4 linked regions of the Lytechinus pictus genome follow. The main gene of each other region encodes a partner of the protein of the gene in region 2 in a complex. Links are inferred from orthologs where the notes say so. Each region holds a gene or a part of one and is shown on either strand. Other genes may lie near its edges. The genes, in order: mediator of RNA polymerase II transcription subunit 21-like, mediator of RNA polymerase II transcription subunit 7-A-like, cyclin-dependent kinase 8-like and cyclin-C-like.

The links.
Region 1: mediator of RNA polymerase II transcription subunit 7-A-like (region 2) and mediator of RNA polymerase II transcription subunit 21-like share a complex: the UniProt entries of both Caenorhabditis elegans proteins name them as parts of the mediator complex. The link is inferred for Lytechinus pictus from reciprocal best matches to the Caenorhabditis elegans genes let-49 and mdt-21.
Region 3: mediator of RNA polymerase II transcription subunit 7-A-like (region 2) and cyclin-dependent kinase 8-like share a complex: the UniProt entries of both Caenorhabditis elegans proteins name them as parts of the mediator complex. The link is inferred for Lytechinus pictus from reciprocal best matches to the Caenorhabditis elegans genes let-49 and cdk-8.
Region 4: mediator of RNA polymerase II transcription subunit 7-A-like (region 2) and cyclin-C-like share a complex: the UniProt entries of both Caenorhabditis elegans proteins name them as parts of the mediator complex. The link is inferred for Lytechinus pictus from reciprocal best matches to the Caenorhabditis elegans genes let-49 and cic-1.

What each region holds. Positions count from the first base shown.
Region 1 is NC_087246.1:11,388,631-11,396,398, forward strand, and holds the start of mediator of RNA polymerase II transcription subunit 21-like, read right to left. Parts: upstream 3,023-7,768; 5' UTR 2,961-3,022; coding exon 2,919-2,960; intron 845-2,918; coding exon 763-844; intron 1-762. UniProt on the Caenorhabditis elegans protein: Component of the Mediator complex, a coactivator involved in the regulated transcription of nearly all RNA polymerase II-dependent genes.
Region 2 is NC_087254.1:21,134,750-21,142,271, forward strand, and holds the start of mediator of RNA polymerase II transcription subunit 7-A-like, read left to right. Parts: upstream 1-4,509; 5' UTR 4,510-4,682; intron 4,683-7,036; 5' UTR 7,037-7,041; coding exon 7,042-7,522. UniProt on the Caenorhabditis elegans protein: Component of the Mediator complex, a coactivator involved in the regulated transcription of nearly all RNA polymerase II-dependent genes.
Region 3 is NC_087248.1:26,627,092-26,634,647, reverse strand, and holds the start of cyclin-dependent kinase 8-like, read right to left. Parts: upstream 3,020-7,556; 5' UTR 2,816-3,019; intron 1-2,815. UniProt on the Caenorhabditis elegans protein: Component of the Mediator complex, a coactivator involved in regulated gene transcription of nearly all RNA polymerase II-dependent genes.
Region 4 is NC_087260.1:4,723,405-4,730,999, forward strand, and holds the start of cyclin-C-like, read left to right. Parts: upstream 1-4,576; 5' UTR 4,577-4,715; coding exon 4,716-4,747; intron 4,748-7,595. UniProt on the Caenorhabditis elegans protein: Component of the Mediator complex, a coactivator involved in regulated gene transcription of nearly all RNA polymerase II-dependent genes.

The sequences.
Region 1 (7,768 bases), on a different chromosome or scaffold from region 2:
TTATATTACGTGACATCATCCAGCCACTATCACCAGCTAATTTATGAATGACATTATAGTAAGCATGCGCAGTACAAACCTCCCAGTACCTAGCACAGCATTCTATCAAAACAAGACTTCAATTCTTTATCACCTCGTATCGACATAGAATTTTGACACTTTCCTATATTTCATATGAATTTTGGAATTGTGAGAGATATTTTTGAGAATCTGTTTTCAAACAGATACAGCACAGGTAGGCCTATAGCATATTTCAATTACCTTCTTGCTTTTCTGTCAAAATTTTACCCAATAGCGTTGGTGTTTCATTTTATTCGCTAGTGTTCACAGAATCTATCACAATGTATACGGAGTCAATTGAGTTCCGGGTTTGCGAGCGTTGCATGAATATCCATGAAATTGCTGAATAAAAATTAAATAATCATATCATGTGCAGAAAAGGTGGCCTGATAACGTTATCGCTATTGATACATTCGCACACCTATTGAACAAATAATTGTGGTGAACACGTGGTCATTATGTGATCTGCGGGATGAATCAATCAGTGGTCTCTGAATTGCTCTGTAGAGCAGGGCTATACATGTACGTTGAACACAGTCAATTGGCAGTTTGCCACTGTGTGCATACTGTAGGCTTCATAGCATTATCATTGTGTTTCTGTGAAAATACATTTGTAAAATGTGAACGCACTAAAAACATTACTTTCTTCCTTTAGTCAAAATAGAGAGCTGTAATCTTCATGACATTCATGGACATACGTACCTTGTTTCTCACACCCAGGGAACTTGGACGGCTGAGCACTCTGTTGGAGTACACCAATGCTATTGCACATGTGCTCAGCAAGCTGAAATTAACAAGAGATATTAGACAGATGGACAGAGGAATATGGAGAGAGAGAGAGGGGGTGTTGCAAAAGGAACTGTTTCTGAATGTTTTCCAAAAGGATTTGGGGATTTTTTTAGTTTTATTTTTTTATATTTTTTATCCCGTTTTTATAATGAAAAATAAAAAAACATATTGAGGCCTCCAAAATTGAAGCAGGTGAGGACAAGAAAAGGAAAAGTTAGACCTCCATGTCGCGTTCGTTCTCGATCGGCCATTTTGTTTTCAATTTTGAAAGAAGGAGAACGAACGTGACAGAACTTTTCCTTTTTTTGAGGGTCCAGTTTATGCCTCGATGTCAGGATTCTGTGACACGATAGACCTTCATCCATATATTATAATCTAGGTAAGTGCATTATTTATGTTTTCCCCTTTTATTTGGGGCGCTATTGCGACCCCATTCTACCCCATTTTGGAGAGTACCCGCTAACTAATATTACAGTTACACGGACCAGTCCCTGCCTGGGTTAGAATTTTAATGCCGAAAACGCCCTGGTGCACCCATGGGTGCATTATTGCCGCCGTCTACAGGAAAATTGAAGGAACAGCGCATGCAAAATTGAATCAAACTCCCGCGAATTTCCCCCAAAAAATTGTAAAACTAAGTACTTATAAGAAACTTTCCGAACGATGTCAAGTCAATTCCCCCTAATATGATGAATATCCCTCAAATTGCGTCATTTAAGCGTTGATTTTTCTTCTTGTTGGCAAAATACGGACCCTGCTACCATCTCCCAAATTTTTTGTATAATGAGCTAAAGAGGGCGCGCGATTTATCTTCATATCAAAGACACCACAAGGGAAAGACTAGGCACAAAAACCATTTTACACGTAAATTGATGCAAAGCGTTACGCGAAGTCGGCAAAGTGTCCAATCTTTTTACTGTAAAGACTTTGGGGGAACGTTAATTGACAAATGAACGGTAGCACTTAAGGTACATAGAATTTTCTATATTTTTTGTTTAATTTGTCATCGCTTTGAATATTTTCCAAAAAGTATTATCGATGCTTGAAAAAAAATAAAAAAGTATTATCGTCAGCAAATATTATAAAAAGTATGTTTTTTAAGTACTGTAATTGCATTTATTGGTGTCTCTATTTTATCAAACAATCATTGGAATTGCGCATACAATGAATACAAATCTAGTTTAAAAAATACCGACAATCTGAATTAAGGTTGTGAATTGTATTAGCACCACCAATGACCTTCCTTTTATTTCCGTCGAAGAGACATGTGAAGCAACTTTCCAGGCCGAGGTAAGCGATTTTGCTCTTTTTTTGCATGCTTTTTCCATTAATAAAATTCGTAAAATTGAACATTTTATTCTTCGCGTTATGAAGCGATGTTAACCGACAACTCTAAAATCCATACTGTAAACACGTACGTGGTGCGAGGTTTGTATAGCACTAACCTCGCAATACGTGTGAGTGCCCCTGGTGAGTCAGCGGAATAAGTTTCGGCTAACAAAGTCAATGTTGAACATTATTCACGTTATGATATGACACTCATTCAATGAACAAGGTTATGAAGCGATGTTAACCGACAAACTCTAAAATCCATTGCGTAAACACGTTCGTAGTGCGAGGTTAGTACTGTATATAGCATACTAACCTCGCAATACGTGTGAGTGCGCAGACATGTCATGGGATAGTCTGCAGGCACAGACCCTCATTGGAACTTTGATCAACAAGTGTGCCTCCACGCAAAGACTAGCACATACAAAACTTGCTGTTCGCGAGAGAGCCTTCAGTACACAAGGCATGAGTAGGCTGCACATTCAGACCCTTAACTCGAGCGAAGGGTTTGCCCAGCAGACTAGACATGGGATGTGGCCACCCTGTGAGTGTGACCCTTCCTGGCTTTAAAAAAAACATCACAAATACGAATACGTGGGGCCGGCATATATTTTGATTGAGAAACTTAGTATTATTACAATCTTGACAGATTACCATTTGCTATCAAACCACTTTTTTGTAATTCAAACAATTTCACAATTAATCAAATTATAATATGCATCAGTAGCAAATAATATTACCTGATTTACAGCGTCTTGAAGTTGTGTGACACGGTCTGCCATCGCCAATTTATTGTTTTCTCAGCTGTAGCAAGCTTAACAGTAGATGGCGCACTGTCAAAATTTATGATCAAATGCAAAAATTAAAGCTAAGGAGATTGATGATTTGCAAAGTCACGGCGAGTTTCCCAAATCAAAGTAGACATTAGGAGGAAGAAGTTGAGATCTGTCCAAAATGAGTACTCTTGCATACGCCATACCTTTGTCTATAATAGGTGGATATATTGTTGTATCATCTGTGTTGTTCAGATATCCGACATTGATTCATTCGAAGAAGAAATCAAAGATTAACGCGAAGCTTATCGCACACCGGGGAGGTAAGTACGATATTGTCGAAAATGCATTGAAGGCATCGCCCGAAACTTGGGGGGTGTGATTTGTTTTTTTCCGTATCCTCTCGCTCGCGCTCGACGCGACGTCAGGGGCCTGGGGCCCGTTTCTCAACACCGTCATAAGTCTAACTTCTTGACTAAATCGGAGATAGTGAGCTACTTGTCCGCTAACCGTTTCACGAAGCCCTCTTTACCAAGATCAGGTACAACAACCTCACTAAATATTTATGACACCTCCGAACCTGTCATAACTTATTTCTTAATGACGTAGTGGCAGCATCACATGGGTTAGACGAATAACCGTCGTTTCTGGGGATTTATTCAACAATTTCTGACATTTTACTGTAATCCCCATTTACCGACGGTAGGGTGTACGTGTGGGCTCGCATGTGTTCTCATTCCCTCCCTTTTGTCAATTCACAGTCCAAAGTTTGATGTAATTTTACACATCGAATTTACAATCTAAGGATGTATAAACAACAAACTTTTAAAGCTTTATATCTCAATGTTTAAATACTTTAAACGATATAGATGAAAAAGGCATGAAAAATATACTTTACCGATGTTTAATTGGGTTGAACACGATAAAAATGGTCAAAATGGCAGCCAAACTATAAAATATTTACAAACGAACGTCAACAATCACGAATGTGATATCGATATTGCTTTCGATATTAATTATTATACGATCTGCTCCATATGCGAACGAAACCGAAGATAAACGATACTAGTACTAGTTATAATCGCGATATATCGATTCGAGACATTAAGTTAATAACGATAATGACGTCATTCAAGATGGCAACTTGCAAGAAAAACCGTCAAGTCAGGTGAAAATGTCTTAGATGACATATTTCTCAATCATCCAGAGGATTTTTTTTCAATAACTCCGGCCCAAGGTATGCAATTACTTAAGTTATTTATATTTACCTGATAATGGAAACCATGAAACTTTCAATTTTGCTTAAAAAACAGTTTTAAATCGCGATCTATAAAACGCTAGTTCACTATACGTTGGCTGTAGGTACGGGGCCCCATCCCCTTCAGTCTATGTATGGTGAGTGGAGCCAACGTAGTTCAGCGGAACAACCAAAATACAGAGACTGAAGCTTTGTGAGTGGAGCCAACGTAGTTCAGCGGAACAACCAAAATACAGAGACTGAAGCTTTTGGTCTACACATGGGTAGACTATGACATGCAAAAGTGCCTAGAAATTTGAAAATAATAATCTTACGTAATCAATCATAGAGGTTGAAATTACATCATAAAACAAGTGGGATAATGCATTCAATGATAATTCTAATACAAAGAAACTATAAAAACTGTTGGTAAAACGCCACAAAACCATTCACTTTGAAATAGTAAAATGATTTAATCGATAAAGATTCTACCACGTCAGGCCATCCATAACTGGACTCGTATTTGTTGTTTTCAGACCCCTATTAACATTTGGATAAATTCTATCTCTAATTTATGCATAGAAATTGTCAAATCGTATGTTTCGGTATCAAATATTTATTTTTGATTTTGTTAAACTATATTTTGATGATGTTTGGAATCGTAGAAGGGCGTATAATTATCATCATTTTAAAAAGAAAACCGTTATGGTTTACTTTCGTAAACTATTAAAATTCGATGTCACGGGGGTACCCATCTCAACGTCCACATGTGATTTTCTAGTCATGAAATAAACTATTCATAATTTAATTTTCTCAGCAATTGAATGCTCCAATCTTCATGGTCTAAGTATGTATGATGCATAATTTACATGTGCTATTATTTTGAAAAGATGTATTTCCCAATTTATCACAATATTTGCAATTTTGTCATAATTTTTCTTTTTGCAAATTATGATATTTTGTGACTAAGGCTACGTCTCGTCTGCTGTTTTTACCGATAGTATCGATATCACGGTATTCTAGTTAGGAAGCCTTTCGTGAAACAGGTTTAGTAAGATTGGAACTAACTCCGTGGTTGGTGGATAAAGATATGACTAACTTGTCCAGGTGTTGAGAAACGGGCCCCTGGGGCCGATTTCACGAAAGCACTCACACAACTAGTTAGTATAAGCGGGGTGTTTATCAAATTTATGATAAACAAATACAATTCGTAAGCTTGCTTTTAAATCAAATTTTATACAATTTTGTGAGATATCACATCATTTACAAATATTTTGTTTATTTTAACAGACGAATAAAATATGTTTGCAGATAATTTAGGCCTATTTGTAGGTATGTGACAAAAAAAATGAAAATCATCAAATATGAATAAATTTGGTATCACTTGAAAGCTCTTAAAAAGACCTTTAAAATGATACCAAGAACTTTAATTTTCATCAAGAAATTAGAAAGTTATTCCAGTTTAAGTTGCGCATATTCATCCAAATTTGTGGTCATTGTCTTAATGTAAAGTCAATGCAACGTTCTCGCCAACACGCGTCACCTTTGTCGGCCGCCGACAACCGTGAAAGTTTTGTGAGCCTTGGCCGACAACCGTGAATGTCCCCGACAACCCTGACCGACAACCGTGAAACACGCTAGATATTGTCATTACTAAGTTTTGAAATGAACGAGATTCATCATGAAAGTTTTGTTTTTAAGACATACTTGTCAGAAATTTGAGCCTCGCCACTGAGTCTGCTTCGGTTTCGAGCAGAGAACCCTCCTAAATTCCGTCTTCTCTCCATTCACTGGCTTTTCGCTCGATCAGTGCCCTTACTATTTAGCGTGCGTGCAACTCGCTCGAAAGGCCCACTGTCATGACTGTGCAGCATGCGCTGCATGCATATCGCCCAGAGCGGATATCTCTCCGTCTCTCCCCCTTTTCTTTTTTTTCTAACGAGACTTCGTGTTTGGCGGCAGTGGCCTCTCTCCTCTTCGCTCAAAAATTGTATTCGTGAGGGCAATTGCCGCCTTAATAAAATACATAAGAACAAGTGGGGATATGTCATCATCTGCCAAAAACAATGCTTGAGTCTTTATCTAGTTTTCAGATGGACACTATTATTAAACCAGTCGTTCTTGGTTAATATTAAATCCTCGAAAGTTGCAGTTAAAAAAACAACAAATACAAAATCAATAATAAGCCGTTTTATCACTCTGAGAAAAAAAAGATAAATTCCCGTTTTTGCCATATTCTGATTGAAATTCAATGGGGCAGGGCAGGAGCATTGAGTGCCAGGATATTTGACTTGAAATGCGGAGGGGGCAATAGCCGTAAGACAATGTGATTTTCTGTAATGTATTTTGTGAATTATAGAGATATCAGAATAATACGACCCGCCCGAACCTCTCCTGTTTTTCCTACTTTTCTTACAATTCTTTCTCTTTCTCCCTCCTTCCCAATTTTCACTCGGAAAATCAGAAGGCAACCCCTACCCTTCTCTAAGGACATATTCCCGCGCATAATAGGGAATGTTGTTAGAATGCAATTTCTCGAAATTCGCTCGTTCGATGAAATACATTGCCTTGGTCGGTAATATAATCCTGAAGATGATTTCGATGAGAAATACCGCACTACCACAAAATAGAAATACAAAATAGAATCACATCATGAACATGTCAATAAATAGGGATAAATGGGTCCGTTGATGATAATAAGTATGAATAGGTACTGACCATCCATGCGCCACCGGCATCGTAACTAAGGGCAGACTCGCCATGAATGTGGATTTGCCACGATGTCCACGTGGGGAGAAATCGGACCACTTCTTCTTTCCTTGGTTGGTAACCACGTTCAATTGGTGATTAGTCTTTCTCTATAACGCACACTTGCAATTGCTTTTATTTTAATCTTCAATTCGGCTGCACTGTACTGTTAACCAATAACCTGTAACTGTAATATTGAATTTACTTGTATATCTAAATCAACATATCGCTAATGATTCGATTCAAAGATGAGAACCTGAGAAAACTTGTAATCGCGGATTTAGAGAAAATTCAAAGCAAAATAGAGTCTGAATATGCAGACTTGCAGACAAGCATCATGTTTGGCATGTTTTGTAAACAAAGGCGCGTGCCCTACTTAATTGAATGATCCGAATCATGATTACGCAGTGAAAATCCTTGGCTGTGGTCAAGCTCATGAGGCCCTTGGGAATAAGGGATTTATTGTCAGTCAGTGCCTTTTTAGGACACACAGAATGAACAGCGGTACTTGGAAAAGAGAGGTGTATTCGATCATGATTATGTCATATCATAGACCTATTTATGGTCATATTTAGTCGTTACTTTTTCTCAAATTGTGATTTGTATTCTTGTTAAAAGTTAGACCTAGATGTTTGACAAAAAATACGATTCAGTAAGTCTTTCCCATAAAATAAATGAGTATGCATCGTGTTTTGTGATTATGAAAGACCCATGACAGAGTGAGTATCAAGTTGATTTCATTTTAATCAAGTTCGGACCTTTCAGTGTCTCTCTTGCTCTCACTCTCTTTCAGTCTTTCTTCCTCAGTTTTAACATGAAAACCAAAGGTGTA
Region 2 (7,522 bases):
ACTATTGAATGTTCTACTTGTGAATGTTGTACATCAAGATACTATTTTGTTGTCATGGCTTTCTGAATGATTTTTATCTCGTAGAAATGAACACCCAAGTTTAAAGTAAGGAACTGAATCGTTTCCAACTGGTTACTTTTATTCATTGTCGGCTTTTTACTTGAGAGGCTTTTTTTTTTCAGAAATAAAATCATGGTGTACACGGTTAAATAATTATGTTACATATCTATGATAAAGATGGTGAAGACTTTAAAAATCAAATTACTATCACTGTCCTGTGATTTATGCAGAAATAAATGTCAGTTTTCATGGAGATTGATAGCATAGTAGATTTCCATGTGGTATGCAGGTTGGGGGGTAACCTTTTTCCCCTCCAAAGCAAATTTCTTTTTGATGAAAGTTGTGTTTTACACCTCTTTTTTATGATGAAAGAAATTTGTTTAAAGTCAAGTTGTTGCATTCCTGAATATCCTGAAACATTTGAAAGGGGAGTCCACCCTGGATTCATTCTGGTTTAAATAAAATCAGAAAAATAAAGGCAAATCTTGTTGAAGGTTTTGTAAAATCCATCAAAGAATTACTGGTTCATATATTTTTTTTCAAGTTTTAATCATAGAATGTTGTGGAATCACTTGTGGGCATCTGTCCCATTAGCCATGTACATTTAATGTCAATTCTATACAGTTTTTTTTAGACAAATTGAAATGTTTTATGTGTGCATTCAATGTGTAATCAAACACTTGTTTCTGTCCTAGTCATCATGACATGAAAGTGCTGCTCACACATGATTCGACATAATCGAACTACAAACTCATTATTTGATTTTGATGTACTAAGTATTTGCCCAACCTTATGCTATTATCAGTTACTGATTGACCTTTATAGGGTGGACTTCTACTTATAATGTTCTTTTGTGAGTTTGGGGTGTTGTGTATATTCTAAACACGTAAAGTGAAACTTCTCAACTTCATATAGCAGTACTGTGTAGATGCCTAGATTATTATCTCCTTGATATAGAATATACATGTGCATTGTCATAGTATAAAGGTACATTGCATCCAGTCCGGGTAACTGTCCCAAAATGTATCAAATCACTTGCAGAACGGTTGCATAATAACTTACGAACCAGGGGTCGGTTTCATAAAGCTGTTCGTAAGTTAAGAGCGACTTTAAGAACGACTGGTGATCCATTCTTATGGTAAACGGTATATTCATTGGCGATGGTTAAGCGCGTAAAAAGGATCACCAGCCGTTCTTTAAGTCGCTCTTAACTTACGAACAGCTTTATGAAACGGGCCCCTGACATGGTGAATGATCGGTGTGAACGGTGTCATTGGAATAGCATAAATAAATAATTTATTCCCTCTTTCATTCCTGAACCGTACCTCTTGACTTGGGACTAGATTGCTTTTATCATTTATATTCCACAACTTTTTTAAAAATTTTCAATGGAATTGCAAACTTTGTTCTTCTGTTATTTTCTGTTTTCCCTTTCACAAGAAGAAAAACTAGATGCTGCTTTTATAAAAACCTTTTTTAACCCCTTGTATTCATTGTTAGATAGGGATGAGTATCTAAATTATTTATAAATCTACCTATGTGTTATGGTGTACTGTATACACCATATATTTCATCTGAAGACATATTTTTACCCAACTTTTTCTAAATTGATCTCAATTCTTTGTATAGATAAATTAAGAATTGAATTCACTGCCGCTATTTAGTTGCAAAAATTGATGAGGTTCCACCTAAAGGAAATATTTCACCCTCTTTGTCTACCCCCTCCCCTACCAATAAAAAACCCCAACGATTAATTGAAAAAGGTTATTGAAAAGTTTTATTTGTTTGGAAATTCCTCATTTGCAATTGTATTTGTTATACTTCTGAACCAAAAATTTCTTTCATTGGGATGTCATGTACTCACTATTGTAACTTGGAAAAATATGCATGTCTGGCTGACAAGTTGTGCAATTAGAATTATTGGCCTTCTTATCATTTGTAAAAAAAATAATAAAATACTGTAATTCCATTTATTATTCATTTAGCAAATATATTCAATACTAATCATAAATTTCCAAGAATTGCTAAAATGGATCACAAAAGTGAAAAGGGGGTAATTTAATGGCCTAGGATTATTTCACGTTTGTGTAAATGTTCATCTTATATTGCCCTTACATTTGATTTTTTTTCTTCATTTTTTATAGTACCGTACCAATTCTGAATATCAATATTCATTTAACAGTACCTATCCATTATCCATCAATGTAAAGACTGGATATTGTTTTGTGATCAGTACAAATTTTGAAATAATAATATTCATATAATTACCATTGCTATGCATTCAGTAATAAGACTATGAATATTCATTTTTAAACAATATTTATCATGAATAGTAATGTGCCTACTCATGTCACAATACAAATATTTCATTTGCATTTTTATCTCTACGAATATGCATATTTTAAAGAGAACTGACATTCTTCGTTATCTTTATATTTTCAAAACAAAACCTCCCTATGAATATTCATTGTTGAACAGTAGATTTTACAGTTATTATTCTAAGTCTACTCTTATGTACTTCCAACAATATTTCTTATTTAATAGACATATGTTTGTAAGTACTTGTTATGTCTATTACTGCCTACACATTTCAAATATGTGTTTTATTTATTTCGGTGGGTGATGGGATTAATTTAATCAAAGTTATCTGGGGTTTAAATTCTTATAAAGTGCAATGGAATTGATTAGCAAATGTATTCTTCGTTTCAAATCAGGAGTTTTTTTTTTATCTTAATAGATTTGATTTTAGCCCTGTGATATGACATACATAAGTGTATTACAAAGATGATTGATTGTATGTGAAGTAATATTATTCAATGCATCTCTTTCTAAACTTCTAAGGCACAGTGAAACTCGACCCTTTTTTTACTTTAAAAATGTTCCCGATAATATGTTTACCATATTTTGTATGATCATTGGGCCAATGATAAATAAAAAATCTTCCATGTCTCTCACAAATGAAGTTCATTTGCATGGTGTATTTCTCCACATTCTGTGTCTGTATTGGCTTTGAAGTGTTCAGAGGGTAAAGTGTACAGTGGTGTTAAAAAGTTAGTGCACCCCACCAGAAAATGTACTCCTTTATGCTGAGTGTTCAATGGGCAATCCTTTTGATTATTTTATATATTCAACATATTTGCAATTCATTTTGTTTATTTCAATTGATGCCATCTATTTGTTATATATATAATATGTATTGTGTTTTTAATAATCATAAAATAAATAAACAAACTAACTAACAAACAATGGATACAGGAGCACTACAATGTTTAGCAAGCCCAGAGAAACAAACCTTATTGAATTTAATATTTTATCACCTGACTTCACAATTACAAATATGTCTTATACAAGGCAGAACTTGAGCACTTGAAATATATTCATTTTCTGGTGGGGTTCACTAAACTTTTTAGCACCACTGGATCTGGATGTATACGATGCAGGGCCCTTCTGGGCATAAACGCATCGGGTACTTGACCTGGATTTTTGCCGGGACCGGCAGGTGCAATACACCGGGTGAACACCCTACTCTTTGACGAATAGTGTATTGGTTTTAACGTGCATAGGTTGTACCTCTCCTATACACGGGACCAACATTTGCGTCCTTTCCGATGGACGGAGTGTTTTCCAACTGTATTCACACCTGCACTGAATACAGTGGTGAGGCACGCTAACACACAACGCTATAGCATCAGACTTTTTTTGTTAGACGCGTTTCGGCATGAGCGGGACTCGAACCCCTCACGTTGAGATCTACGATCTTATCCGAAACATGCGCTCTAACCGACTGAGCTACGCTGCCTCCCTACTGTATGTACATGTAATACATTGAAGGTCATGGCAGGAGATGGATATAGTGATCATTGCAATTAATAATTTCATAAGAGGGGGGAAAAGGAGGGAAAAGAAGAAGAGGAAGAATAAGATGATGATGGAGAAGAAGGAGGAGGAGGGAATGTGGGGACGAAGCTAGACAAGAGCAGAGGAGAAAACTCAGGATCACCTTATTTTCTTACTTTGGGAGGGGTCAGTCTAGAAAAGTACACAAAAACGTATATAATTTTCAAGACGACAAGTCCAGAAAAAAATAGATTCATGTTGGATTGTAGGTTACAAGGATAATGATGACAGCCAATGTAATATTTCTAGATGCTCAGCCAATTTAAAGAATTTAAAATTCAGAAATAAAGGAAAGAATAAACAAGGAATGGAAAAAAGAAGAGATAAATATATAAAGAAGCGAAGATCGGAAGATATTGAAAGAAAGGAAGGCAAAAAAAAGGAAAAAAAGTGATAGGGCTGGATACTTGTATAGGGTCGATTATCTTTCATTAATACTATTAAGTTAGATAAAGTCATGTTCTTGCAATCATACAGTATACAGCTTTTGAAAAAAATATAAATGCTAATTTTGTGTTCATGCATTATAACGAACACTGTAGCGCCATCTTTAGACGATTGTCATCCAAGCTAGCTAGCTAGCCGGCGCCGCGCCGAAGAGCTAGACTAGAGGTACGGCAGAAGAGAAATCTTCGTTTTTCCTTGCCTATTTCTAGTGCTGATCTGTTCGAAATTTGTTTCAAATTTTCAGTCTTCGAGTGGCTCAAACATCAATCCAGGCTAATGTGAGTTCATACGAAATTTTACGCTTATTTAAGTTATTTTAATGACTTGCCGGTGATCGATCACTGCGAGGCAAGTTTCATGTGTGCGGTATTTTATTGCAAGTTTCATGTGTGCGGTATTTTATTCCTTCGCCTGCCTGAACTTCCGGGGAGGAGTCTGGCTTGTGAAGGCTAGGCAAAGGCAGCTGCGTAATACTGTGTTGATTGTTAATCTGACTCTGAAGTTAGTGTTGCACATGTGCCTTAAATTACTTAGTTCAGGGGGGTCAAGAGTCAAGTATGACTAACTTAGGGTCGCATTTGAGTCGTCAACAGACGGCTGGCAGCCGTCTGTTTCGAGGAGTTTTTCTTTTTACATTGTTTTTTAAATTTCTCCTCGTACACAGTCACAGACGGCTCACGATCATGCAGCCGCCATTAGGGGTTTAACAATGCAAAATCCCCTTGACGGGGCTCATCGATTTTCGTCTTTATTTCATATTATGAAATTATATAATATAAATAAGAACTGGACCAAAATAAAGCCAGGTTATTATTCCATTTTGGCCTGAAATGCACCAAAATAGGAAAAAATTAAACTTAAAAAAATAAAACTAAAATTAAAAAAGGAAAAAAACAACAAAAACAGTGACTTACATGGAGTACTTCAGCTGTCGCGCAACTCCCACTTCCCTGGTTTATACAAACTTAATACATAGTATGGCCATTGGCATTGAGTCCCTGTACAGATCGAGTTAGAACTTCGGTCTCTGTATAAATTGGTGAGTGGATCGAGCCAACGGAGTTCAGCGGAACAACCAATATAACAGAGACCAGTGGCGTAACAGGCGGGGGGGGGGGGGGGGGGGCCCTGGCGGATTTCACCGGGAAAATAAAAAAAAACAGGGAAAAGAAAAAAAGGGAGGGAGAAGGAAAGGGGGAGGAAAGGAGGAAAAGGAAAGGGAAAAGAAAACGAAGATTTTTTTTTTTTATGGAAAAGGAAAAAAAGCGGGAAAAGGTGCGAAAGAAGAACATTTGACAAAGAACAAATCATTCCAAAATAGGCTTATGTGATGCAATAGCATGATGGGAAATAAATTAAAAGATGACAAAATGGCAAACAATAGCGGGAAACGAAGGTACATTGTAGAATGGAATAAGTCAAAAGCTAGATAAGAAAAAGAAAAGGGACAAGAAAAAGAAAAACGATAACATGACCGGGCTGCCAAGGATTGAAAATAAAGAGCGAGAAGAAAGATGGACTGCACACAACATTGTGCTATACATGTAAGCTTGCTAAATTTTATGCAAATAAGCTACCGGGGCTTTGCAGTACCCGCAGTAGGGGCTCTTCATCTATAACCATCAAATGGCTCTATAACGCCCCCGTTCAATGACGTTCAATCACTGGCATACAGGCGCGGGGGGGGGGGGGGGGGTCTTGGTTCCACACCCAAGAGGAAATAAAATAAATTTTAGGAGACAACGTATAATGAAATGAATGGAAACAATGAAATGTGTTATTTGCTGAATATAATGGAAAAATCTATCACATAATTAGAATTTAATTTCAATAGGCAATTTTTTTTTCCAGCTCGCTTTGCACGCTGGCGACTTAACAAATTCAATTCACTTTACTCGCATCCGGGAAAAATTTGGCTCTTGCCCCCCTGGCCCGCGACCCCTGTTACGCCGCTGACAGAGACCAAAGCCTTTGGTCCAAGTTGTCACATGCGGTATACATCATCAGGTCTAGCCTAGGTCTAACGTTACATGTAAAGCCAGGCGTGACTACATTTGTCAGATCATGCCAAGAGGACGCGCACTACGTATTGTCTATTGATCAATAGGATTGCGCGTTTCATTGCGACTTTAACTTTTAAGTCATACAGTTAAATCTTTGTGAAACACCCCCCCCCCCCCCCCCCCCGCGGATTTAAAAAAAAGTTCAAATGGAAATTTGATCTTTTTTTAAATTCAATTTTTACGTCAACTTAGGCCATGTATTTGGCAAAGACAAAGTGTGACTGAGTATTAAAACAATCAGCATAGAGATCGAAGCAAGAATATAACTTTTCCCTGTGTGGCTGAAATTCAGGTGATTAATGCATTTTTTTTTGGAGAGAAAAGCTTTGCAAAAATTGATCTCAAATGAGTTTGCTAAAAATAGGCATTTGAATTGGGCTGGCTATGAAAGTATTATTTTTACCAATTTACCATGCCAAATACATTAATCATGTACCGGCAACAGAAATTGAAAGGAAATAAGATGGAAGAAATTAATCAAATAAGATTTAAAACATTTCCACACTATAAGATAATTGGCACTTTCTTGATAATATTGTTAACTTATTTTCCCTCTTATTTTTCTGCAGACAACATGAATGAACCACAGGGAGTAAGCTCTCTCCCTCTCCCTCCAATGATGTATATTGCTAACTACACTGATGAGCGAGTACTCAACAAGACCACGCCTAAACCTCCTCTACCCGTACAAGAAGCATATGGAATGTTTGGAGCCACATTCGTTTCCAATGATGATATCATTCGTCCTCTCGAGTCGCAGGGTTTGAAGCGTCTTCATCCGCAGCGGTTCGACCACAAGAAGGAGCTAAAGAAAATCAACCATTCCATTCTTGTGAACTTCCTCGACCTCATAGACACACTTATCGTCTGTCCGAACGGGCCAAGGAGAGAGGAAAAGTTGGACGATATGAATCTCCTCTTCATTCACATGCATCATTTGATCAATGAATTTCGTCCACACCAAGCCAGGGAAACGCTGCGTGTCATGATGGAGGTGCAGAAACGACAGAGACTTGATACGGCAGAACGTTTCCAAAAACACTTGGAGAAGGTGA
Region 3 (7,556 bases), on a different chromosome or scaffold from region 2:
TTATATCCAAGTCCAACTCACAGTCACACACACACGCACACACCCATCCACACACACCCACATCCAAGATTCTAAACATGATATATAACTTTAAAAATAATACAATATTAAACAAAAAGTAATAATTCCTTAATAAGTGAACAGGTATTCCTCAAAATACAAAAAAGTAGCATTTAAAAAGAGCCCCCGGAATTTGACAAAAAAATTAAAATGGAGCCCCCGAAAAAAAAAAAAAAATTGTCAGTGACTTAACTTTTAGCCAAAGTCAAAACCTAACTAAAACAGGTTTTACAACACACAATCTAATTACAATACATTGTAAAACAATTATAAATACTTCCTTTGGTTGTTGATTGTAATTTTATAGTACATACATTTCCTCCATCCATTTTGTTAATTGGGCAAAAAGCTCCCCTTGTATGTTGAAGAAGAGCTTTTTGAAGTGCTCCTCTACCGCTCTCCTTAAAAGTTCTAGGAGAGCTTTTTATTGCTCCCCTTATAATTATAAAACCGAGTCCCTGACATACCTCAGTTGCATGATAAGTAACCGAAGACCAGGAAAATATGAAAATTGCTGCAAACATGTCCAAGAGGATAAAGTAGTGCTTTGTAATAACAATTTAAACATAGAAAAGGTGTGCAATCCGCAATGGAAAAAATACTATTTACAGAAATAATGCTAAATATTACAATGATCATAAACGTTGGTCATCTTTAAAGTTGATCACTTAATTTATGGAAGCTTATATAAGAATATAAGGTTTAAGAATATAAAAAATATATATGTTCAACATTTCAAAGTTGAGGAGTATAGAGACTACATTATTGCTTTAACATTAGGCCTACATAGGGGCCGAAAGGGGCCTACCCTACGATTTGAAATACGCATCTTCATATGGACTTCCCATAATCTTTTCTTTAATGAACTAGCTTATCTTCATTTGTAATAATTGTGATGGATTCGTAAGCTATAGGCCTAATCTGTATCTTAAATTCAATTAGCTATTTTGTTACTGCAGATTTTTTGTTTTGTTTCATTGTTTCACATCTCAAGTTAGCCCAAATCCGACAATTAATTTTCATTGATTGAAATTAATCTCAGCAAAAAAAAAATAATTATAATGAAAATGAAATAAAAATAAATGAATGATTTACCATGTTTAACATTTTAGTTTTGTATCGTGTTTTTTTTTTGCTGAACGTTATTAACACGTTTTTTACCTTACATAATTTCTTTTAAATAAATTTGTTTTCATGTTATTTAATCATCTACATTGAGAAAGCATGAGGGGTCAGAGAGATAGTGCCGCCCATTTCGTTATTTCAAAAAAAATTAATGGAAATGGTATGGGGATAGGACGGAGAATAAAAGAAAACATATTTAAAAAATATTTGGGCCTACATTAGGCCCGGACATAATGCCCGGAGAAGTTAAAATGACATCTGTTTTTGGTCGTCTTGCCGTGCAAAAAGACGACCTGAAATTGATGACAAATAGCCCCCATATAAAAAATAACTTGGCGCCATCCCAGATAAAATGCATCAGTGTGCAACCCCAAAAAATGTTTAAAGGTGATATGTCAGTGTGGCTTGCCGTAAACGCATTTTCTCTCAATGCCGACGGTGGCGGGCGGTGTGCAAAGAAGATCATGCCTACGTAGGACATGTCTGGAGGTGTCTTTCCAAGGACCATTCTTCGTATCGCCCAAATCGGCTTTGTGAAACAGTTGAGCGATATCTCGTTCTTACGTAGAATGGTTCTACGAAAGACCCTTTCATGCAACAGGCCCCAGTTTATTTAGTCAAAAAAGGGTCTCTACACTTCTCAATTTTCATACAACTATTCGTCATATATTGATTCTTAAAAAAATTGAAGTCTTTTAAGTATTTTTTTCTGAATCAAAAATAGAGATTGAAAATTGAAAATTTTCTTAGTGTTACTTTTCACCAATAGAGGGCCTGCACAAAAATAATATGTATAATAATAAAATGAATATGCATGAAATTGCAGACACCAGAGTCTCAATAATTTTCGATCGATACTGGAGCGATCCGATCGCACAAAGACTATTTCCGGATATTGTTATCGCTAAAGTATCAATACTTTCGCACGCAGTCCTAGGGAATTATTTTGGCGACCGTCGTAGTCATGACATGATCTGCGCATTGACCAATCAGCGGTCTCCAATTCGCTGAGCTCTGAGACGAGACTGAGTCTGACTCTGACTCAGTCTGAGTGATGGTCTATCCGTTGTACACAGTGAGTCTATGCCACAATTGCACTGTGCTGAGCACTCCAGTCTCTCCAGTGAATACAAATATGATCCATACCTTACTAATATTATAGATTGCAACTGTCATGACTGTACTGTAGTCTGGACGGATTTTTGGTTACAAAAATCACATTTTTATGATTTTTTTAAATGTGTGTTGTAGAAAATCAAAAAGGCAAGAGAAAACTCTCCTTACTCTTTTTACTAGAATCATGCAGATAGCCAGATACGCGTGCGCAGAGAAGGGGGATTGTGCATGTACTTCGTGACTTTACGTAAGCTTAAATAGCAAATAGCAAAACTAATTCTTTGACATGGATATTGCGTTTATCAGGACATGCAACTCTATTACACACATATTAAATAGGGATATCCCGATTTCGTGATAATCTAATTCGAATTGTACACTAAGTAAATCGCCGCACGAGGAAATTGACACGCAGTCGGATCAGACAAGTATACGAATTACGATACCATTCACCAAATCAAGACATATTGCGCGTAACTGATTTTTTTTCATTATTTAGAAAATAATTACTCACCAAATATGGCCACTGAGAATCAACAATTTAAAAAAAGTCAGCCGGAGCCTGTCAAGAGACGAAGAAAGGTAAGTCGTTTGAGCCGGTTTGTGTCTAGGACTAGGACGTCACTCGACTCGCCCGGGATATCGATACGGTACCGGTACGGATACCTACCCGAAGCAAAAAAAAACGTGCGATCCGCATTCGCCATCCGGATTAATTGAGCAAGTTCGGAGAAATGTCGGAGGATTTTGGTACAGCTAGTTGAGGCATGACGCCGCCCGGGGATACACCCAGGAAATTCAAAGAAAAGCGGACAGGTGCCAAACACCATAAAATTTACTGTATCTTATAAGATGTTTATGCTATCACGAATTTGATCTCGAACAAACATGGGTGTCGATCACGGGGGGGATGGGGGGGATATATCCCCCCCAATATTTCAAGTAGGGGGGATGGCCTGTATTATCATCCCCCCAATAATTTAGGGTAGACAATTTATGATGATGAAAAAATGTAAAGGTTTGATCATGATGATTATAGTGATGATTATAGTATGCCATCAATCAGTTTGTTTCCCTCGCAATTTGTGTATATTGTTATTAAATAAAAACATTCTTTTCCAGGACTTTTAAACAGATGGGTGGAGGTTCAAGATGAAAAAGAATGAAATGTTTACGTATATGATATTGTTTAACACATGACATAAAAGAACCCCGACGAAAAACAACTTTTGTTGATAGGGTGTTCCATCCCACCAGTGGTAATATGATCATATTTTTTTTTATACAATTTTTAATAAGTGAAATCAATTAATGGTTTCAGAAAGAATAATCATTCATTTCTCTCTAAAGCGTATCTTCGGATATGAAGATCGGATTTTTTTTCCATGTTATTCTTGTTATTGTTATGGACTTGAATAACTAAACTTGATTGGCTCTTTCTTATTTTGGCAAAAAGAAATCTCTTTTGAGTTTGGAAAGGGATGACAGTTTTGCATTCTATATGAGCACACTCATGCGGTACGTAAATTTCATTTTAACACATATATTAGCTGATATTACACACTGATGGTTCAAGAAAATGTTGGAGAAATATCATAACATGACAGTTGAGTTTTGATTGTTTTTATGTTTGTTTTTGTTTATTGCACTTATAAAGCATTTAAAACATGTTAAAATCCAGGGTTAAAATCGTCTAAGGAATGACGGTAACTGAGCCCGATTGCGCACGAGAAGCCACACAGTTTGTACTTTGTGCTAGTCTTAATTTGTCCGAATCTGCATTTTATCATCATGCATTAAGAAGAAAAAAAATATCGCCAGTCGGGTTAGATTTAAGAGAGAAGTTGTATACATCATGTCCAATAAACAGATCACTTTGTACATGGTCCAGACAATTTTTGTCATTTTTTCTTTCGTATGAGTTTAGAATGGGCTTACTTGTAACACAAATTGAATTTTCAAAAAAAAAGTATAAGTACAGTACACTGCAATAATGAAAGAATTTCCAAGAACACAGTGGCGTAACTACGGGGGGGGGGGCATGGGGGCACGTGCCCCCCAATCGGCTGGCCAAAAAAAAAACGGGGAAGAGGAGAAAGGAAGAGAAACGTAGTGGGAATGAAGAAATTATTGTTCATTATAATGTTATATTATAATAATGTTATGTTTTATTACATAAGAAACTTTTTTTTTTCATAATTTTATTTTGCTCAGGCCTAGATTTCTTCATTGTTCCCGGTACTCGCATTGTCTGTTTAACGTTTTTAAGTCAATATACACCAAATATATTTCCTCGCACTTTGACTTATTATTGTTTTATGTAGTGACATATGGTTCTTTTTCATGACTACTTAAAGTGATTGCCCCATTTTAAGGTGTTAATATAAAAATTTCCTGTCCGTGCTTACGTTCGCACTAGTAGATTGGTGAGATATGACTGCTCTTCATGAATTCCTAAAAATCAGTCCTTAAAATGTCCCTTTTTCTGATCTGAATATCAAAAATTTTCGATCGCATCATTTGTTTAGTGAAATACGTATCGTATGGTCTTAGTGAATTCTTACAAACAGGCCTTAGAATGCCTCTCTTCAGGTCTGAATATCCTAAATTTTCAGCTCGCGCTTCGCGCTCGCAATATTTTATGAGTGAGATGCGTATTATCATGATTACAATGACTACAAAAAGTGCTTCATGTGTTTAGATGTAGCAAAATCAGCAAGCGCTTTGCACTCGCATTAGATGACTATGGTGAGATATGTATACTCTTAATGGATTCCTAAAATATAGTCCTTAACATGTACTTGTTTGGGGTAAATATTTAAAAAAATTTCAGCTCGCGCTTCGCGCTCGCATTGTTTGTTTAGCGAGACAGGTATGTATCATGATTACAAAAATTTGCTTATAATGTCCTTTTTTTGGTCTGCATATCAAAAATTTTCAGCTCGCGCTTCGCGCTCGCATTATTTGAGCAGTGAGATACATATCCGTTTAATGGCACTGTCCTTAAAATGTCCCTATATTAGGTCAGTATACCTGGCAACTGAGCGCGCTTCGCGCACTCACTAAGTGACTCAAAAATTTTGCTGGTACCCCCCTCCCCCAATGCCGTGACTCACGGTACGCCACTGCAAGAACACCATGCATATCAACCACTCCCAATTGTCCTAACTTGTGATTTTAGTGGGGGTAATGTTGAAAGATCCCCATCCACAAGAACATTTGTGTCAATCATCCCCCCAACCAAGAATACCGATCGACACCCATGCGAACAAATGTCATGCCCCTTCATCATTGCTGCGGACCCGGCCGGGGGGGGGGGGGTGGTCAAATATATTGCTGTACACACGAGTGACCAAGAAATTGTCAAACACCCCCTAAACGAGTTTTTTCTCTGTGTGCAAAATAATCCCCTAAACAAGTTTTTCGCTGGCTTTATTTACACACTTTGGCCCCTAAAACAGGATCGAGTCGCCAAAATATGACCTCGGGGGGAAAAGCTAATTGGGAAAAAAACATACCCTAAACACGTTTGGCTAGTCTTTATAAAAAAAAAAGAGCTTTGGAAAAAAAACATACCCTAAATACGTTTGACCCCGCGATTGACCATTGACCAGTCTTTCAAAACCATCCCTTTTCTTAGTTGAAAATCTGTGTTTTTGATACCTTTTAACGAGTCCAAAACTGAAAAAAAAACACCCCTTTAAACGCGTTTTTTAGGTCACGCGTGTGTATAGACATATATTTGACTGCCCCCCCCCCCCGGGGGGGGGGGAGTGAGTGTGGTCTCTCATTGACTTTGTGTTATAAATACATAATCTTAAAATAAACTTTTTCAGATATTTACTACAGAGAATATATTTGTATTTGTAGAGAAACTAAAATGTTTTGAGAGGAAAAGTAATTGTTTTGCTACTTGGCAACATAATTTTTGCGGTAGTGAGTAGTTAATTAGCATGTTATCATTAAGTGGGTCTATATTACTAGACTACATTAGCATTATGGGTCAGGAAACTGGCCAGGTATGAGTAGTTGAGGACTCGAGATGGCGCTATTGGTTCGTATCTACTTTAATTTGTCATCATGCAGGATCGACTGGGAGCTCGGGAAAATTTCAAGGTGTCATGCATTGTTTTTTCCCCAAAAAAAATCTAATTTAGACAAATCAAAAATAACAACTTTACAGAAACATTTCATATTTGTGATAGTTACTCACCACAAACATTTCAGATTACACTTTTTGTTCAGTGCATGGTGATATATCATGATAGAAAATATAATATAAACCATAGATTTTACTTTATATTATTATGTTTCTGCATGTTTGAAAAATATAATAAAAACAATATAATCCATTTGGCACGAATATTACTTCTTTTTTTTTCAAAGAAAATTCCACCTGAAATATACTTTAATCCCAACGAGTCCAAATGATGTGAATGAGCTTGATACACTCGTTTCATTTGATACTGATCAGATCGTCATGGTAAATATTTATATTTCTGAAGATATAGGCGCCCTAGTAAATTTTACGATGTTGGCAAGCGAACAGATTTCACTGAATTCATAGGCGGGTGTGTGTAAGCTTTTGTATATATATATATATGTATATATACATACATCCCGGATATATACATATATATGACCGCCGAAAGACCGATTTTTCTGCCGTGGAAATGAGCTTCGAATTTTAATTTCATGCACGTTTCCACGGAAGAAAAATCGGTCTTTCGGCGGTCATATATATATATGTATATATATCCGGGATGTATGTATATATATATGTATATATATATATAGTACAGGACAAACGTTTACACACACCTATGGAATTCAGTGAAATCTTTTCGCTTGCCAACATCGTAATAATGACTTATTTGCAGATCATTACGAATTATGGGGGCTGGGGTTGATAATAATGTTAATAATAAAGATAAATGATAATACCGTCATTTTAATAAGTTCATTTTCCATAATTCGTAATGATCTGCAAACAAAGTCATTGTTCTTAAGACACTAAAAATAACTGGTATCCTTAATTTGCCCTCAACGGCAGCTCCTGTTGATTTTTACTGGTCTTGTTAAAAATATTAACTTGCCTAGTACGGTTATTCGGCATAGTAGGCCTGATATCGGGGGGGGGGGGGGTTGGAGGAAGAATGTGGGAAGAAACGCAGCTTTGTGAGTCTATCAACTTTTTTTCACTATTTTTTTCTCAAATTTAATTTTGCTTTAATGCGCTTCGCGCGGGATAAGAT
Region 4 (7,595 bases), on a different chromosome or scaffold from region 2:
AGCAAATAATGAGTAATGGAATAATTTTGAAGAATTTGTAATATCATTTATGTATACGAGGAACAGGAGGGGCCCGAGAATAGAGCCTTGCGGAATTCCATATTTAATAAGTTTACGCTGTGATTGGACACCATTGACCATGACAAACTGATATCTGTTATGCAAATAATGTTTGAACCAATCTAACGCTAACCCTCTGACACCATAAGCATTCAGTTTACGTAAGAGTATGTCATGGTCAATGGTGTCAAAAGCTTTTGACAGATCCATGAATAAACCAAGACAATAATTGCCATCATCATTTTTTTGTGATATAAAATTTGCAATGTTTAATGCACCCATGGAAGTTGAAAAATTTTCACGAAATCCAAATTTCTCTGGTATGAGGATATCATTTGCTTGAAGGTGGGAATATAATCTTTTGTGAATAATCTTTTCTAACATTTTCGAAAAAAATGGTAATAGTGATATGGGTCTATAATTATCCAAACAGGTATTATTTTGAATATTTTTAATTTGTCAGGAACAATCCCTTGTGATAAGGATTTATTAAATATTGCACAAAGTTGTTCAACAAATAAATGAATTGAGTCCTTAAGAACTCTGGGGGTCAAGTCATCAAACCCACTAGCTTTTGATGATTTCATAGAAGAGAAATTTTTAGAATTTCATGAATAGATGTAGGTTTTAGGAATAATGAAAAGTAGCTCTTATCAACAGGCAAGAAGTCATGAAATATGTGAGAAGAGGTAGGTATATTATGTGAAATTCTTTCAGCAATATTGACAAAGTAATGGTTAAAGGAATCTGCGATCACACGAGGTGAGGACATATGAACATTATCATTATACATTTTAAGTGGTATATTTTGTCGCCTCTTCCCCAATAACCCATTGATATTATTCCAAGTTTTTTTTTCATGTCACCTTTGATCTTATAAAACTTGTTATGAAAATATCTTTTTTTAGACGATCTGATAATAGTAGTAAGTATATTTTTGTATGTGACATATTTTTTCTTACTAACAGATTTCTTCAAATATTTATGATATAATTTCTGTTTGACGTTAATTGATTTAAGCAGTGGCGTAACTACGGGGGGGGCATGGGGGCACGTGCCCCCCAATCGGCTGACAAAAAAAAAAAAAAAAAACGGGGAAAAGGAGAAAAAGAGGGAGAAAGGAAGAAAACGTTGTGGGAAAGAATACATTATTGTTCATTATAATGTTATATTATATCATAATATCATTATGTCATAATATCATAATTATGTTTTGTTATATTACATAAGAAACATTTTTTTCATAAATTTATGAAACATAATTTGCTCAGGGTCTATGTCTTCATTGTTCCTGGTGCTCGCATTGTCTGTTTACCGAAATCCTGTAATCTTAATATAAGATATTTCCTGTCCGTGCTTACGTTCGCAGTAGTGGATTGGTGAAATATGTCTGCTCTCCATGAATTCCTAGAATCGGTCCTTAAAAAATTTTCAGCTCGTGCTACGCGCTCGCATCATTATTTGGTTAGTGAACTACGTATGGTCTTCGTGAATTCTTACAAACAAGCCTTAAAATGCCCCTCTTCAGGTTTGAATTTCCTAAATTATCAGCTCGCGCTCCGCGCTCGCAAGATGTGATTAGTGAGATGGGTATGTTAATCAAGATTCCAAGTGCTTTATGCGCATGTTTAGATGTAATTTTAACAAAATCAGCAAGCGCTTATTGGCACTCGCATCAGATGACTATGGTGAGATGTGTATACTCTTAATGGATTCCTAAAATATATAGTCCTTAAAATCTTCCTGTTTGGGGTCAATAATTACAAAAATTTCAGCTCGCGCTTCGCGTTCGCATTATTTAGTGAGACAGGTACGTATCATGATTTGATTACAAAAGATTGATGATAATGTCCCTTTTTAGGTCTGAATATCAAAAATTTTAAGCTCGCGCTTCGCGCTCGCATTATTTGACAAATGAGAGACATATCCATTTAATGGCACTGTCCTTAAAATGTCTCAGGTCAGTATACCTGGCAACTGGGCGCGCTTCGCGCGCTCACTTAGTGACTCAAAATTTTTGCTGGTGCCCCCCCCCCCAATGCCATGACCCACGGTACGCCACTGGATTTAAGTATACCAGGTGTGACCCATGGTCTTTTACCCTTCAACTTATAGTTGTGCCTCTGAACAACAGGAAAACAATCATTATACAACTTGGAAAATAAATGTATAAATAAATCATACGATTTGTTTGCATCAGTATTGCTATTAACAGGAGTCCAATCAACATTCAATAGTTTGTGTTTAAATTCTAAGAGTCGCTCATGTGTAATAAGCCGACCACTGGTTGTGGTGTTGCCATCAACACATTCAATAATCTGGCAGACAACGATGACATAAGGAAAAAATAACTGGTTATGGAGAGTTGTTGGACAACCAGGCGCGGATCCGGGAGATTAATTGCTTACCCCCCCCCCCCCCCTCCCTCAGCAAAAGGGGAAAAAGAAAGAGAGAAGGAAATAAAGGGAAGAGAAAGAGGAGTATAAAGGGAAAATGAAGAGGGAAGAAAGAGGCTTTAGCTGATCCGAAAAAGCCCACAGACCCATTGAAAAGGTAGTGAGGGGGCGGCCCGGCGGGAGGGGGGTGAAGGAATTATATGTAACAGAAACAACCGAAAGAGAGAGAAATGAAAGGAAAGTAATATCAGTTGTGATTATTAAAAACAAAATCGTGAAGCCATAGGTTGGAATGTTAATGAACAGATGATGATGACACAATGTTGGAAGCTTGTTTCGCTGGAGATACGTTGAAGCACCCAAGACTGGGATATGTAAGGTTGGAAAGATGTTGGACATTGAGATGATGGTAACAACGTTGGAATCTTTAATTGTGCCAAACCCAACTTGTAAACATGATTTTCCAGCTCTTAATTGCTGTCTTTTCATCTTTGATTGTTAACATGTTTGATTATCAATAAAGATAATTTTTTTAATTGAATTGAATCCTTTTTGTTGCTTAATTGGTTGTTTAAAAAGGAATAAAGTACAATGTAAATTTGGTCTCGTTGGTAATATGACGTTGCACCAACGTAATGCCAAAACTGGACCGAAGTTGAGCAAATGTTGACATATTCTTTGTCTTTCATTAGGCATTCATGAATATTCATTATCTAGTCACCAAAATTTTGTAACAATTAAACCGCAAATAACGTAATACGCAATTATTCCTCCCTCATAAGTTTCACAAAAGTATGTAGCTTTGTCGCCATATCATTTTCATAAAATAGATAATTCATAGACGAAATGTTCAAGGTTAAATAAAGAAACCTGTTATTAACTGCAATTTTCTAAGTATCGCAAAGTCGTCATATATAAATAGGAATGACTGGCAGGATAGGTGTAGGATATGTTAGGATTAGGATATAGGATTGTAGAATAGGATAAGCAATTAGGGAATAAGAGTGTAAAAGTGGCCCTCACTTTGAAACTAATTAATGTTTTTATGATTGCCATACGTAGGGATTACGTTGGCCCAGCGTCAATAACTGATGTTAGGCCAATGTTGGAATTTTACGCAGATCCAACATTAAATTTGATGTTCATAATTGTTTTATTGTTTTAAAATTGACCGTTGGCGGGGTGGACATTTTAACATTGATTAGCCTAACGTCAATATATGATGTTGGGTCAATGTTGTAATCATACACAAGCACAACATTATTGTCTGATATTGGCCCAATTAACGTTTTAATTGATGTTGGCTCGATGGACACTTTTTTTTACACGGCTCTAACAATTTGATGTTGGTTCAATGTTTCAAATTGACCGTTGGCGGATCAGCCATTTTAACATTAGCACAACGTCAATAAATGATGTTGGGACAATTTTGGAGGCATTTTATAGATAGACCTAACATTGTTATCTGATGTTGGTTCAATGTCCTCAATCGGATGTTGGCTCGGCAAATACTTTAACATTAGTCCAACGTCAATAAATGATGTTAGGCCAATATTAGAATTTTACAAAGGTCCAACATTACAATTTTATGCTGGTTCAATGTTTTAAAATTGACCGTTGGCAGGTCGGATATTTTAATATCAGTCCAACGTCAATAAATTGGGCCAATGCATCGCTCGACATTTGCCCGACCTTAATATAGCACAACCATGGCGTAATTTCCTTCAGCAAGAAACTGATCCACAATGTGCTGCACTCAACCCAGGTGAGGTAAATGGGTACCGGTAGGAAGTTATTCCTCAAGAAGCTGTGAGCGCTATGAACGCCTAGCTTAGCCGGGTAATATAGGAGCGCCTTGAGCACCTAAAAAGGTGGATATGTGCGCAGTATAAATACCCTATATTACAACGTTGGCCCAATGTAAGTTTGCTAGCTGGGATCTGGGGTTGGGATAATCTCATGGTGAAAATATCTTTTTGCACCAAATGCCCATTTTGACATATAAGTGCCTTTTCTGGCTTTGCCCGACCCCCTCCCCCTAACGAAAGTATGTTCCGCCGCCCCTGTTATGACAGCAAAAACTTTCACTGAATTACGGGGGCGGGGATTCAGGATGGGGTGACTGCGCTCTGTGTATTTCCTTTTTTTTTGCTTCGTCAGAAACACCATTAACAATTTACACCAATTACAATTGACACAAAGAGCAGGAGCGAGAAAAGTCGTTATTTATTGATTAATTGGAGGTTTTTCGCTATAAAAATGGCAGGAAACTTTTGGCAAAGTTCTCATTGGTAAGTGTATTCTTTTAAAGATTAATCTGTTGACTAAGGAGCGTTTCGTGTATTATTTTGTGAGCAAATATGCGTCGGTATTTTGCCGCACAGTACCGGTACTACTGGCTGTGCCTGTGCCTGGCTCAGTCAATAATGCACTTCCCCTGGGCTGGCCTCGGCACCCGTACCCGGTACTCCCTACTAGCCTGGAGGCGTATGGGGAGTAAAAATCATGATTCATGATTCATTCATTCTCTTTTTCCTCCACAAAATTGATGTATTCTGTACTGACATGGTTCAAACCTCCTAAACCAGAATGACAGCGTATATGGAACATATATCTGTTTACCTTGGACCCTAGGAATCTCCAAGAGTCCAAATAGGCACTTCAGTCGGGTGGGCGATCGCGCGGACACAGCGCTAGACGTAGATTTTTGCATTGCAGTGAATGGCGAGCGCCTATCTAACACACACAGTTCGCTCCGCTCGGCACTTTGGCCGAGCGCTGGAGTTGCATTCGGCATTGCTCGAAAAGACAGAGTCAGTTTCTTCCTTTATTCCGCTGATTTTGATTGGTCAAAAATTCCCGCGGTTGCTTCGTACATCTTCAGTAAACATCGGAAATATACAAGACAGAGTTTCCCTTACCTTCATGCGAGGGAAGGACCTAATATTCAGGTATTTATTTTTCTTTGCTTGAAATCACCTTCTTGTAATCATCGGATCCCTTGTAAACTCGGTCAGTAATAAAATTGTATATTTGAGAACATTTTGTGAAATTCTAATCAAATTTGGTCCGTAGAGAGTTTGCGAATATGAGCTTCAGTTTTGAGTGTCATGGGGTGTTTGTGAATCTGACTCGGCCGATCGAGCAGGGTTGTTTTGAGCGTGTGAGTGACGTCATCCCCACTGCGTTGGGCCTGAGATTAGTCTTGGTATTCAGACACAGTATGTTTCAGCCGTTGTATATTTTTTTTAATTACGATTTGAGCTCTGTTAATTATGAAAATCAAATTGTTATTTTGAAAATAATTTTGTAGAATTCGTGTGAAATAAGTTTTAAGAGCAAAGCTGCAAGTAAACTTCAAGAATTTTGTTTGATAAGTGATTTTTTTGTTGGAATGCGTCTGAATGTCTAGAATATGGTATTGTTAATGAAAGTCGTATTTTTGAATGGCACAGAAAGCTCCTTGCATGAATTTAATTTAGAAATCGGTTTACATACATGAGATGTGTTTTATGAATTTGATATCTGATTTATGGACCTTTGTTCTGGTGTTAATTATTAATTTGAAGATATTATGAAAAAGTAAGAGAAGACAATAATGAGGCAATTAACAGTGATGATACATTAATAATATGAGACAATAAACATTGCGACAATTATAATAATCATTATGATTATAATGATAACAATTATAATTATAATGATAATAATTATAATTGTAATAATTATTGAGACATCAATTCTAGTATTTATTGACAATAATAAGTATTACAATAATCATTATTATAATAAAATAATTGTTATGAAAACAATTATAATGATGTAATTTGAATTGTAATAATTACTGAGACAATAATATTAATGAGATATCAATAATAATCATAATAATAATACTTATAATTAAAATAAATACAATTGTAGAAATAATTATAATTATAGTAATTATAATTATAGGCCTTATAATTAATGAGACAATAATAACTATTATTACAATAATAATAATTATAACATAATTATAATGATAACAATTATAATGAAAGTAATTATGATTGTAATAATTACTGAGACAGTAATATTGAAAGGTCATCAATAATTATTATTATAAAAATTATTATGATAATAAACATAATCATAATTATAATTAAAGGCCTTATAATTATTGGGTCAATAATAACTGTTATTACAATAATAATAATTATCATAAAATGATTATAATGATAATTATAATGAAAATAATTGTACTTGTAATAATTACTGAGACAGTAATATTGATAAGTCATCAATAATTATTATTATTATAAAAATTATTATAATTATAAAAATAATCATAATTATAATTATAGGCCTTATAATTATTGAGACAATAATAATTATTATTTCAATAATAATTATTATTATTGAATAATTATAACTATAATTACTATAATGATAGTAATTATAATTGTAATAATTATTTAGAAAATAATATTAATGAAACAAAAATAATTATCATAATAATAATAATTATTATAATTATAATACTAATTGGGACAATAATGAAACAATGATGAGACTATAATGATATCAACAATTTTATTGAGACCATAATAACAAGAAAATAATGAGATAATAGACAATTAAAATCAATCTGTTTTTATTTTTTTCTAGAAATCCTAAGATTATTATTTTAATTCTCTTTCTTTGATTACAAATTATATTCATTGAAAACTTAATTTCTAATGTTCAAGCAAAGAAAATCAATATCAAGTCATGTTTACCCTGTGCACAAACCTACCACAGGGCAATTACCCCCGAAATAGGGTTAGGTTAGGTGTAGATTTTTCGATAGGGGTACAGTGTAGTTGTCCGGGGGGGGGGGTAATTGTCCAGGGTGGGTGGGGGGATGGGGGAGGGGAATTGTCCGAGGGTTGGGGGGTGGGGGATTATCATCCAGGGGTAGTTGCTGGAACCAAAGAAATCATATGCCAGGGCTCCACACTAACCAATTATTTCTACTGGTCCAACCTATTCATGTCGGACCAGTAGATACCCAGTTTTTCAAATTTTTACTGGTCCGAACCTAAAATCTACTGGTCCCAAAAAATAAAGAAAACATTAAAAAAAGGCACAAGTTTATTTTTCTAGCCTTTCGTCCCCCCC